Linked DNA regions of Arabidopsis thaliana. The protein of the gene in region 2 interacts with the protein of the main gene of each other region in a pairwise test. Each region holds a gene or a part of one and is shown on either strand. Other genes may lie near its edges. The genes, in order: AT3G13670 and AT1G66650.

The links.
Region 1: the proteins of AT1G66650 (region 2) and AT3G13670 interact in a protein complementation assay, tested with the Arabidopsis thaliana proteins (one large-scale study listed by BioGRID).

What each region holds. Positions count from the first base shown.
Region 1 is NC_003074.8:4,467,434-4,474,330, reverse strand, and holds AT3G13670 (Protein kinase family protein), read right to left. Parts: upstream 5,179-6,897; 5' UTR 4,898-5,178; coding exon 4,514-4,897; intron 4,409-4,513; coding exon 4,280-4,408; intron 4,171-4,279; coding exon 4,097-4,170; intron 3,980-4,096; coding exon 3,910-3,979; intron 3,821-3,909; coding exon 3,765-3,820; intron 3,541-3,764; coding exon 3,469-3,540; intron 3,319-3,468; coding exon 3,224-3,318; intron 3,152-3,223; coding exon 3,085-3,151; intron 2,997-3,084; coding exon 2,867-2,996; intron 2,780-2,866; coding exon 2,561-2,779; intron 2,465-2,560; coding exon 2,322-2,464; intron 2,167-2,321; coding exon 1,992-2,166; intron 1,905-1,991; coding exon 1,814-1,904; intron 1,770-1,813; exon of another isoform or gene 1,705-1,769; coding exon 1,547-1,704; exon of another isoform or gene 1,444-1,546; coding exon 1,255-1,443; exon of another isoform or gene 1,157-1,254; coding exon 1,097-1,156; 3' UTR 791-1,096; downstream 1-790. Other genes in the region: AT3G13672 (TRAF-like superfamily protein), read left to right, coding at 1-86, 158-790; AT3G13662 (Disease resistance-responsive (dirigent-like protein) family protein), read right to left, coding at 5,861-5,866, 6,726-6,897.
Region 2 is NC_003070.9:24,859,384-24,863,810, forward strand, and holds AT1G66650 (Protein with RING/U-box and TRAF-like domain), read right to left. Parts: upstream 2,439-4,427; coding exon 2,142-2,438; intron 1,423-2,141; coding exon 730-1,422; 3' UTR 534-729; downstream 1-533. Other genes in the region: AT1G66660 (Protein with RING/U-box and TRAF-like domain), read right to left, coding at 2,673-3,362, 3,593-3,949. UniProt on the Arabidopsis thaliana protein: E3 ubiquitin-protein ligase that mediates ubiquitination and subsequent proteasomal degradation of target proteins.

The DNA.
Region 1 (6,897 bases), on a different chromosome or scaffold from region 2:
TCAATGACCTTCAGGTGGAATCTCGGGTTCATGAGTTGCTCGATTTTCCGGTTCATACAAACCAGATATCCTCTGCAATCTACGAGGTATGTATATCATATCATATTGATACTACTACAATAAGAACACAACAAGTAATATACAGATCCTATTGCAGTGTCCCAACGACCACATCGAAAACCCTAAGAAGAAACCGTACAATTGTCCACACTCAGGAGCCAAGTGTGATGTCACAGGAGATATTCAAAGGCTACTACTGCATCTAAGGAATGATCACAATGTTGAAATGAGTGATGGGCGTAGTTTCAGTCACAGATATGTTCATCATGATCCTAAACATCTTCATCATGCTACTTGGATGTTAACAGTAAGTTATATAACTGATTATCTTGCTCTGTTTCTGCAACTTTGTGAATTTTTAAGTTTTAACCCACTTGAAACGATGCAGCTTCTCGATTGTTGTGGTCGAAAATTCTGCTTGTACTTCGAAGCGTTTCACCTGAGGAAAACACCAATGTACATGGCCTTCATGCAGTTTATGGGAGATGAAGAAGAGGCAATGAGCTTCAGCTATAGTTTGCAGGTCGGAGGGAATGGCAGAAAGCTGACATGGCAAGGCGTGCCGAGGAGCATTCGTGACAGTCACAAGACGGTTCGTGATAGTCAAGATGGCTTAATCATCACTCGCAAATTGGCTTTGTTCTTCTCTACCGACAACAACACCACCGACAAGGAGCTGAAGTTGAAGGTTTCAGGTCGTGTATGGAGAGAACAGCCTGTTTCGATATGAATTCGATAATTAGGTTACAGAATTGGACAACTATAGAATATTTGGTGACAAAAATATCTTTTCTTGATTTAAAAATTAAATATAGCAATTTCGAGGGAAATGTGTAGGTAAACTGGTGATTATGGCTCAATCCCCTTCACAAGGGGGGAATAAACAACACAATCACCACATTTTTGCTTCACAATTCAACTGAAAAAAAAGAAGAAGCACAACAGAGCCTGAGAGGCCATAGGGTTGGATAAGGAATAGGAGCCGAGACTTAGAAACATATTTCTCTCGTCCTTCAACAGTTTTTACTAATAAGTCTCAAGATACAGTTCGGCCATAGCTTAACGATGCAAGGTAGAGATTCTTTCCCCATTTTTCCTGCACAACAGAAAATTGCATCTCCGGTATTGTTCATGGGAAGGGAGAAAAAGAGTTCAAGATATTGATTAGTAATCTTTTATAGCTGCTCTACTCACCTTGACGTGTGTGCTGGGGAATTGAGAGGTACGTAACGTCTCTTGTGTCTCATCAACAAGTCTACGACGTGGGATGCTTAGGATGAGAGCAGCTTGATCGGTTGTGGCTGCTGTTGATGTGATTCTGAATCCACCATCCCAACGCCTGTGGATGCCTTCACTTGGATACAGAAAATCAAGTTCCACAACCTGTAGAGGAGATATAAGCGAAAACAGGAGAATTAGAAATCAACGCGACAGATCCAAAACTGAAGGAAACGGAAGAAATTCATCTATATCGGTGAAGTCTAACCTGTTCACTGTAGCCAGAATTGCGGGACATAACAACACCCCATCGATTTCCAGCTGTTGCCATTGAGGTTACATGGAAGCCTTCTCTCCATTTCTTGTTTATCCACTTGAACGGGAATGAATCGCTTACTTTGTAAGACTGCTGTGTATACTGCGTACCTTCATAATTCATTTGAAAACCAAACATAGAATAAGCCACAAATTCAGAGACTAGTAAAATACCATAATGACGAAAGTGTTCAAAAGTATTCATGAAAAGTGTAGATACCTTTTGACATGACAACTAAGGAGCTTCCATTGCTTGCACCAGCAATAGAACTAATGTAGTAGTTCTTCTCCCACTGCTCCATAATCCATTCCTGATTCAAAACAGAATTCACTCTCAGGTAAGATCATCTTGACAGAACACAGATATAAAAATAACTAACAGAGAAACATCAGACAACCTTGTGCAAGAATACAGGAGAGAGTTCATAGACTTGGTGCGTGAAGCCAGTTCCAGCATCCATTATCAATGCCCAGAGATTCGAACATGATGATACACAGCTTATCAACAAACCATCTGCAATACCTCTCTCAATATGCTGTGCCAGTCTTATATCAGCCACATTATAATGATACCTGGTTAAACACATAAATTGTGAGTCCAAAAATAGTTTTAGACACATTAAGGCCAAAAATCCAAGATTATAATATAACCAAGAGAAAAAATGAGACACAAACGCAGTCCCAGCAGTTAACTGACTGTATAAATAATTAACCATGAATTTTTTTACCTCTGCTTCATTGGTTGCCTGGCATTGTAAATCGATATCCATTGCGTTGCAGGGACTCCTAGACGGACCTTTTTCCTAGGGGCATCTTCTTCTTCCTCCCCAATGCTCAACCTACCTCGCTTCTGGCCAACTTGGAATATGATCTAGCACAAAAGAAAACAATTACAAGATGTTAAACAACAACTCCTAGATATCCAAATAGGAACGAAAGGGAAAGATATACAGCATGAAAATGTCACCTTTTGAGCACCCTCTGTGTTTATAGGCCTAATTGCCGGATTTTCGCCCAAGAGGTCTTGAAACAGAGATACTAACTTTCCATAGTTGGGTTCTTCATCAAATTTCATATTTACCACGATCTCAAGAAATTGTTTGAAAGGAGGGGGACAAAAACAACAAAGCATATCCGGCGATGTTGCCATCTTCTTTTTGCAAACAAGGAATGACTTGTTATCTCCCTGAAAATTGAGTAAGAGACAGGATTAGCAGAGAAAGAATCATGCAACAACATGATTCTACAAAACAAAATGATAGGTCTGCAGTACCTGATATCCTTGCCATGGCAATCTACCTCGGTGAAGAAAGATCAGTGTATATGCTAATGATTCCAGATCATCCCTTCTGCTAGCAGTTCTCCCTAAATGAGCATGTGCACTTGCGTATCTAACTGTCCCTCTATAAAAATTAAGAAGAGAGAGATTCAACAAAAGGTAAGAGCGAGTATAAAACAAATTATATTAGGTAACAGTAGAAAATATATTACCTAAACATATCAGGACGTTGATCATATTCAACATGTTGTCCGCTACCACCTTCTCTCCACTTTGTAGCTGAAAAGTTGGTTGAAAAATGAGAAAGGTAAAGAAGAACCTAGCAAGAATAACAAAGAGAATGAAATCAACCTAGTCCCAAATCAACAAGAAACAGTTTTTTCTCTTGAGACGTTGAAGGCTGGCCGAGTAAGAAATTTTCTGGCTTAACATCCCCATGCACATAACTGAAACCGAAGTAAAACATGACCTGTTAGGCTAGTTAATAGAGAGAAAACATAAGAACTTAGAGGTGCCGAGACTCCAAACAGGATATCAGAAGAAACCTCGGACAACCTAATTAAATACAAAAACAAAAATAAAGTTCAATTACAAACCCTTTTGCATGCATCTTTTCAAGGATGGAAAGTGATTCAACCGCAATGCAAGCTACCATTTCCGAGGACATTCTGCAAAGCAAAAAGGGGGAGAAGAATTGTTAGGGAAGTCGATTTTTTAAAAGCAAAATGTTACTCAGTATGGACTTATGTATTTTTTTAAAAACAGGGAGTAACACCACATTTCAAGTCACAATTCCAAAAGAATCCAAATTAACTTAGGATACTCATGTATGGAAACAACGCTAATTGAAAAAGAGACAAGAGCTCCCCAAGGATGTGTAATGGAGACTCACGCTTGCCCTGAAGTATTCCATAAATCCCATAAGCTAGGCCCAAGCATGTCCATAACCTGAGGCCAAAACAAAGAAGAGAGGATCTAACTTCAATGATACAGACAGGAGAAAAAAACAGAAATAGGAGAAAGGGGGAATCCAGTACCATGACATAATAGTCTCCTTGCCTGCCTTTGAAATGTACTCTAGGGACTCCATGGCTACCACCCAAGGTGCTGTTCACAATAAAAGTAAAATGTCAATTTCACATTTCAAGTCAAGGAAGCACCTACAATCCAGGTAAATGAATTTAAGAAACATTGAAAGAAAGACAGGAGAATCGAAACACCCACTTGTAAACCTGCCACTCATGTGGAGGACCATAGTTGCAACCCTTGCTGCTCCTATGCTCAAACTTTAGAGCAACCTATATAAGAAAGTGAAGATGTGAGACACTGTAAGCATAACTAAGCTAATAGAATGATATTTATGGTGACAATCCTCCACAGCAGTAAACGCAGACTGAGTTATATTACCTCCAAGATGCTAGCTCCTGCACTACGATCATTACCGCCACTAATACGACGTCCGACAAATACTTGTCCAAAACCACCCTTCCCCAGCTTTCTCTCAACTTTATATAGTGGTGATCCTCCAACTTGAACCTGATACGGAATCGTTAGTCATTACCATAGAAAGATGATAAGCAAGCCTACAATGAAAAGTTCAATAACCCCAAACAACACAAAAACTATGCAAATCAATTATACCCTCTCAGGGAAAGGAGCAGTATTTCCTTCTTCTTCCTGAGCAGCCGCCTTGTTAGAGCCACCACTATCATTACCAATAGCCATATCTTTCTTCTCTTCTTCAACGACTACCTCTTTACCCTTGTTTTTATCGATATCGCTATCCTTAGACGGCACAACAACCGGAATCTCCTGAGGTATCTCTTTATCTTCCTCCTTTAATTTCCTCGCCGCTAATCTAGTCCTCGGCCTCTCTGCAACTCCTGTAACTCCGCCGGCAACCGGTTTTGGAGCTTTAACGGTACTCTTCTTCGGTTTCTTTTCTGTAGGTGTTTGCGGAAGCTGATTGGGAGCTACAGCATCAGTAACACGGCCACGGCGGACTCCACGGCGAAGCTCCGGCATAGCTCAAACCCCATGCAATCGAGACGGGACACGAAGAGTCCGATCATTATAGTCCTCCGAAAACGAGGGCCTGGGTCATGTCGGATTTGGTAAGCTATTTGATATATAATCGGAGATTCGATTTGCCGATGATGAAGATGGCGATTTAGGGTTACGACGGTTCAAGTTTGCGATGAGAAAAATAGAAGTTTATGGATGAAAGTTCCCAAAATGGAGAGAGAAAAGAAGACAGGCGATGTGAAAAAGGCGATATTTATGCCACGTCAGATATTCTGAAGAGGAAGAACCAAAAAAATTTGGAAAAATCAAATTAATTTTCCTTATGACAAAAATTATGTAATAATGATGTGAATGGACTTTTTTTGCGTCACACGGTCCGTGACTTGCGACTAATTTGGAAACAAACGTTTCACGTTTTTGTTAAGAAATAAAAAATTTGATTTCTTTTCTTACAATGGTTTTATATGTTTACTATTTTGAATGTCTTTTCTATTTCAAACAAAAAAGTAGCTAAATGTATTATTTAATTTCTCCGTGTAATATCAAAATTGGTTTTAGACAATAAATAGGTTTGATTTGGTGTTTTTTTTTTAAGGTTTGATTAGCTCGTGATTGGGCTAACTAATCATTATATTTATTTGAACATTTATTTTCTATCAAAATTTCAAATAATTTATTCGCTAATCAGTTGATGATTTTCCAAATTAACGCGGAGTAGAGCCTTTGTGCCACTTAATTTGACCAAAAAATGTATGTTTAATGTATATATAAACAACTACTTATTTATTTATTTTTTAGATGAATAAAATCAAACCATTACAAGATAAAATACATTATTTAACTTGGGAAAAGACAATAACACTCTCATAACAAAACGAGACATAAAAACAAATAAGTAATGAAATCAAATGAACAATATTCCAAACTTAATTATTTCAGTAATGCAGAATATAACAATTATATTCAACACTAGATTCACCGCGGAGACAATTCATTTTTTAAAATTAATATATGTAAAAATTTGTAAATTATTTTATAGTTTACAATTGTTACTAAGTAACATCCTGTCAAACTCGTCCCGCCAAACCCGTCCACAAAAAAAATTTATTTATTTTATTAATGTTGATCTTATTTATAATATATTTATGAATCATTGTCAAAATATTTTATTCGTTGCGGGACGTTGAATCCATACATTTTTCGCCAATTAGTTAATATATGTTCATTCTTAAAATTTTGAATCACAAAATATGACGATTTTTTTTTTGAGATTTTTTAAACTCTATATATTATATAATGATGTTAATTTTTTTGATATATTAAACTTTTTATAAATTTAAATATTAATAGTGTTTTATGAATTTTAAATATATAAATAATAATAATTAAAAAATTAATATTTTTTGCCTTTTAGGTAATGATATAATAATTCTAAAAGCAAGAATTTAGAAGATTTAAATCTTTAATTAAATATTTTCATGCCTGAATAATTAATGTCAGTAGCATGACATTGTAAATAAGTTCAAATACATGATTTGTTTATTTAAACAAAAAACGTTTAGTAAGAACAATATTTATTTAAACAAAAAACTTTGTTTTAAAATATTGTTAACAAAATACTTTTATGCTAATTTTAAAGGATTGATGTGCAGTTTGTTTGGATTAAATTTGATTGATAATGTGATTGACAATTTAAATTAAGAATTTAATGTAAAATTAATTATTTTGAAAAAAAAATTTAATGCTAATGGCATTGGGTTGTAAATAAGTTCAACTCTAAGATTTATTTGTTAAAATGGCTGCAAAAATGTATATGTAGATTGGCAACACCGGCCTTGAGATCAAACGACTTGGTGCGAGCCTCGACATAACCTCTAGCAAATCGAAAGATTCCACTACCTCCGACCACCGGCATTTCCCTAACCTTCGACATCACCACGTTCCGCCCAAGAATCGTTATCGTACTCCCATTGTACTTCCCCGTAGTGAAAGCAAAGTTC
Region 2 (4,427 bases):
AAAAAATAAAAAAAATAAAACACAAGATTCTTCAGTTTAACCAAAAATGGTATAAGATCTGTGTAAGCCCGAATGATTAAAGCTATCTCCTGGAAACTAAACTATACTAAACTAAATTACAAAACTCCTGTAAAAATAAGGTTTATCTCTAGTCATAGTAATACTATATAAGTTTTCTATTTAGTCATGCCAATCATTTTTAAATATGTTGCATCAAGAAGCAAAATAAGCGCCAGTGGCCCATTGCAAAACTGTGAACACAAAAAGAGGAAAGTGGAAACATATGATGACTTATCTTACGTACTACTACATATGCTAATATGCTATATATTTTATCAAAATGTAACAATTTATAATGTGGAAAGTGGAAACTATTACATGTTAATTAACAATACAGCTGATGATCTGATATGCTTCGAGCACACCTTCAAAGTTACGAGAATATAAGCGCATATGCAAATCTCTTAAATTTGGCAACATGTTTATATGTATTATGATAAGATCCTACGACTGATCGACTTCTCTTTTTATTTGACTGTAAAACTATTTAGTTTAGGGCTAACAATAAGGAAAGTTACATGATGATCATTGCGTTTCAACAGATTTGGAATTCTCCAAAAAAAAAAAGAAAAATTTCAATATTGGAAAACTCTACTAGAGTCCCAATGATATGATCTAACGACAAAACTAAACTTCTAACTCCATCTACTTCTACTGACCTAACATATCTCAGATATGAGTATAGTCATTTTTATCGCCAATGGAAATCTCCATCTTCATGTGATCACCATTCACCATATAAGATGGAATCAACAAGAAGTCCTCCTGAGGCTGCTCTTCTTGAGATCTCAATTTCTGTATATTCTTCACCTCCAATCCAAGTCTTAGTGTGCTATACGGTCTGAGTCTAGCTAGACTGCAGGAGAATTTGCGCACTTCGGGAACCATAGGTGCAATATGGCTGACCGTCGCATACACCCCGTGTGATCCGATGAAACCTTGAACTACAAACAGATTCCCTTGTTTCTCTTCTACAAAAATGACCATCTTATCACTGCTGTCCAGATCCAAGCCAAAGATTACAGGACGGTCGAACACAAACGAGTTGATATCACCCGGACTCACTTTGTGTGTAGCGCGAAAGTGGTTGATGAGATCCTTGTAGAAGCCAATGTAGTTACAATCTTTTATGGGACATGAACATGGCGCAAAAACACAAACTTTCTCATGGCTTTGCAGTTGATTTCCATACGTGGTGCTCTGTTTACACCCGTATATTGCATTTGAACATGAGACTAACCCTGCTTTTATAACCTTCTCCATGGCTCTGCATCGAACATCCCCTATAGGCAATTTGCAGAACGAGCATCTCTTCTTCAATTTGATGCAGCACAAGAAACACGCTAGATGCCCATTATTACACTATACGCAATCAAACAAAGAGTTAGCTAACCAAATCAATACTCATTGACCAAAACTAGACTTACCCCAATAACACAAACCAAAAAGATTCGATTTTTCCACTTTCTAGTGAAACTCATTGACCTAAAAACATTTGTAACAAAGAAAAACCAACACTAGAGAACAAACCATGGAAATTTCTGTAACTAAATTCATAGAAGGATACAAAAACTGTGACCTTTCAACTTAACTCAACCAATTGGAGATAAAGTTAACTTAGCTTAGCCAATTAGAGATAAAGTTGTGACCTTATAACTTAGCTTAACCAATTTGGAGGTAAATTTGGGACCTTTATGTAACTTAGCTTAAACCAATTCAAGATAAAGTTGTGACCTTTTTTTTAACTTAAGCTAAGCATCTTCTCATTTGCAATTTCACTAAACCCTAATTGAAAGAATCGATTTTTCTGAAACTCGTTGACCTAAAAACATTTGTAACAAATGAACAAACAACACTAGAGAACAAACCAACATGGAATATCTGTAGCTTAATTCATAAAAGGATACAGAAACTGTAACCTTTTAACTTAAGCTCAACCAATTAGAGATAAAGTTATGACCTTTTTAACTTGGCTTAACCAATTGGAGATAAAGTTGTGACCTTTATTATACTTGAGCGAAAAACTTCTCATTTGCAATTTCACTAAACCCTAATGGAAAGAAGAAGAAGAAGAACAGAACCTGAAAGATTGGTTTTTTCAATGGGTCGAAGCAATTGGGACATTCAAGAACATTCGAATTCGGGAGAGTTACGGATTTGGGTGATGAAACCCTCCGTTTTCTGCATGTTCGAAGAACATCTCCGAGCGGTTTATCATCCTCCTCAGAATCGCTATCATCGGTAAGCACCACAAGGGTTTTCTCTTCTTCTTCCCCGGGACTAGGGTCGTCGACGGAAACAGAAGTACGCCGTTGCCTCTTCGTTGAGCTACGGTGGCTTTTTCCTCCTCCGTCGTTGCGTCTTCCCAATTTCGTCATCTCTCCCTCTCCCTCTCTCTCTCGGCCACTACTTAATGAGACATATTGAAGTGTATTAAGTTTGAGTTCAAGTCGGTACCAACTAAATCAGTCGAACCCGGACCAATACAATTAACATTTTATCTCTAAAAAAGAATTTTCACATAACACATGAAGCAGGGTTTATGATCCAACGACCGTCTACTTCTAAGTTATAAGAGCAGAGCAAAAGAATTGAGACTTTGAGAGGATTCTTCAGATGTGAATAAATTTATATCCATAGGCAATGCAAATCTGCATCTTCCAGTGGTCACCGCTCAACATTTTAGGCGGTATCCACATCAAGTCATCTTCAAGATGCATTTTCTCTCTCACTTTCTGAATTTTCTTCACCAACGATCCACTCCTTAGTGTGCTATACTCGTTGAGCTTAGCCAAACTACATGACAAGTCACGTATTCCCGGAGCCATATGTGCAATACGGTTGACAGTCACATAAACACCTTCCAATCCCTTGAAAGCCTGAACAACAATCAAATCACCCTCTTTCTCTTCCTTAAATACAACCGTCTTCTTCCTACCAAGGTTCATGTTAAAAATTCTAGGACGGTCAATCACTAACTGGAAGTGGATGTCGTCTTCACCCCAAACGTGTGCAGTACTACAAGCATGGCTTTTGAGATTCGAGTATGAACTCACGTAGTTGCAGTTCGATACAGGGCAAGAACATCGGACAAACTTGCAAACCTTCTCATGGCTTGACTGATTACAATACGTGGTGGTTTCTTTACACCCGTGTTTCGCATTTGGACACGGGACTATAGATGCTTCGATAACCTTCTCCATCGCTCTGCATCGTATATCCCCGATGTTACATCTACAGAACGAGCATTTCTTGTTCAATTTTTGGCAGCATGACGAACAAGCTAGATGCCCATTACTACACTGTGCACACAATAAAAACACCATAGACTTAGCCATAAATCATCAACCACCAAAACAGTCTTACTACACAACAACCACCAGAGAGTTAGCCAAAACCTTTAACACCAATTAGCTAAATATATTATAAGCTGTGACCTAAATGTTCTTATTCTGCAATTCCATTAACCTAATAAGCTATGAATCTACAAATTGATTATACAAATATGAAGATTATGAATCAAAGAAGAAACCTGATAGATTGGTCTCTTGAGTGGTTCACAACAAGTAGGACAATCGAGAACATCTGAGCTCTGAAGCTTCACCGGTTGGGATGATTTAGGACTTCCAGATTGTTCATCAGTAGTAACGTTTTCTTCTTCTTCTTCTTCTTCGTCTTCTTCCTCTTCTAATTCTTCTTCTTCTTCTTCGAATTCTTCTTCATCTTCTTCGAATTCTCCATCTTCGTATCCTTCTAAATTACTTGGCTCTTCGAACAACTCTGGGTCTAATTCCTCTTCAGATTCATCGGGAGAAGGAGGAAGTCGTTGCCTCTTCGAGAGACGACTGTCGCCGGCTCTATGTCCGTCGTTTCCTCCAGATCTTGCCATTCCTAAATCTCCTCCGATGGGGTTTTCGCCGGCTCTATGCTGATCTTATGGGCCTTTCGTTTTAATATGGGGGTTTTGAGTAGCCGAACCAAACTTAACCAAACGGAACTAAGATTTTTGGTTCGGTTTGGTTCGGCTACTCAAAACCCCAAGCTGGTTGAGTTCTGCTAGACTGCATGAGAGGTTGCGTACTTCCGAAGCCATAGGTGCAATACAGCTCAGACACGCCCTCGAGTCCTTTGAAAGCCTGAACTACAATCAAATCATCCTCATTGTCTTCCAGAAAAACAACCATCTTCTTCTTACCAACATTAAAGGATTAAAGATTAAAGGACGATCAAACACAAACATGATGAGATGATCCTCGTTCCAAGAGTGTTCATAATGAGCATGGCTTTTGGGATCCGTGTAAGAGCCAACGTATTTGCAGTTTAGTACAGGGCAAGAACATTGGGCGAAAACAAAAAGCTTCTCATGG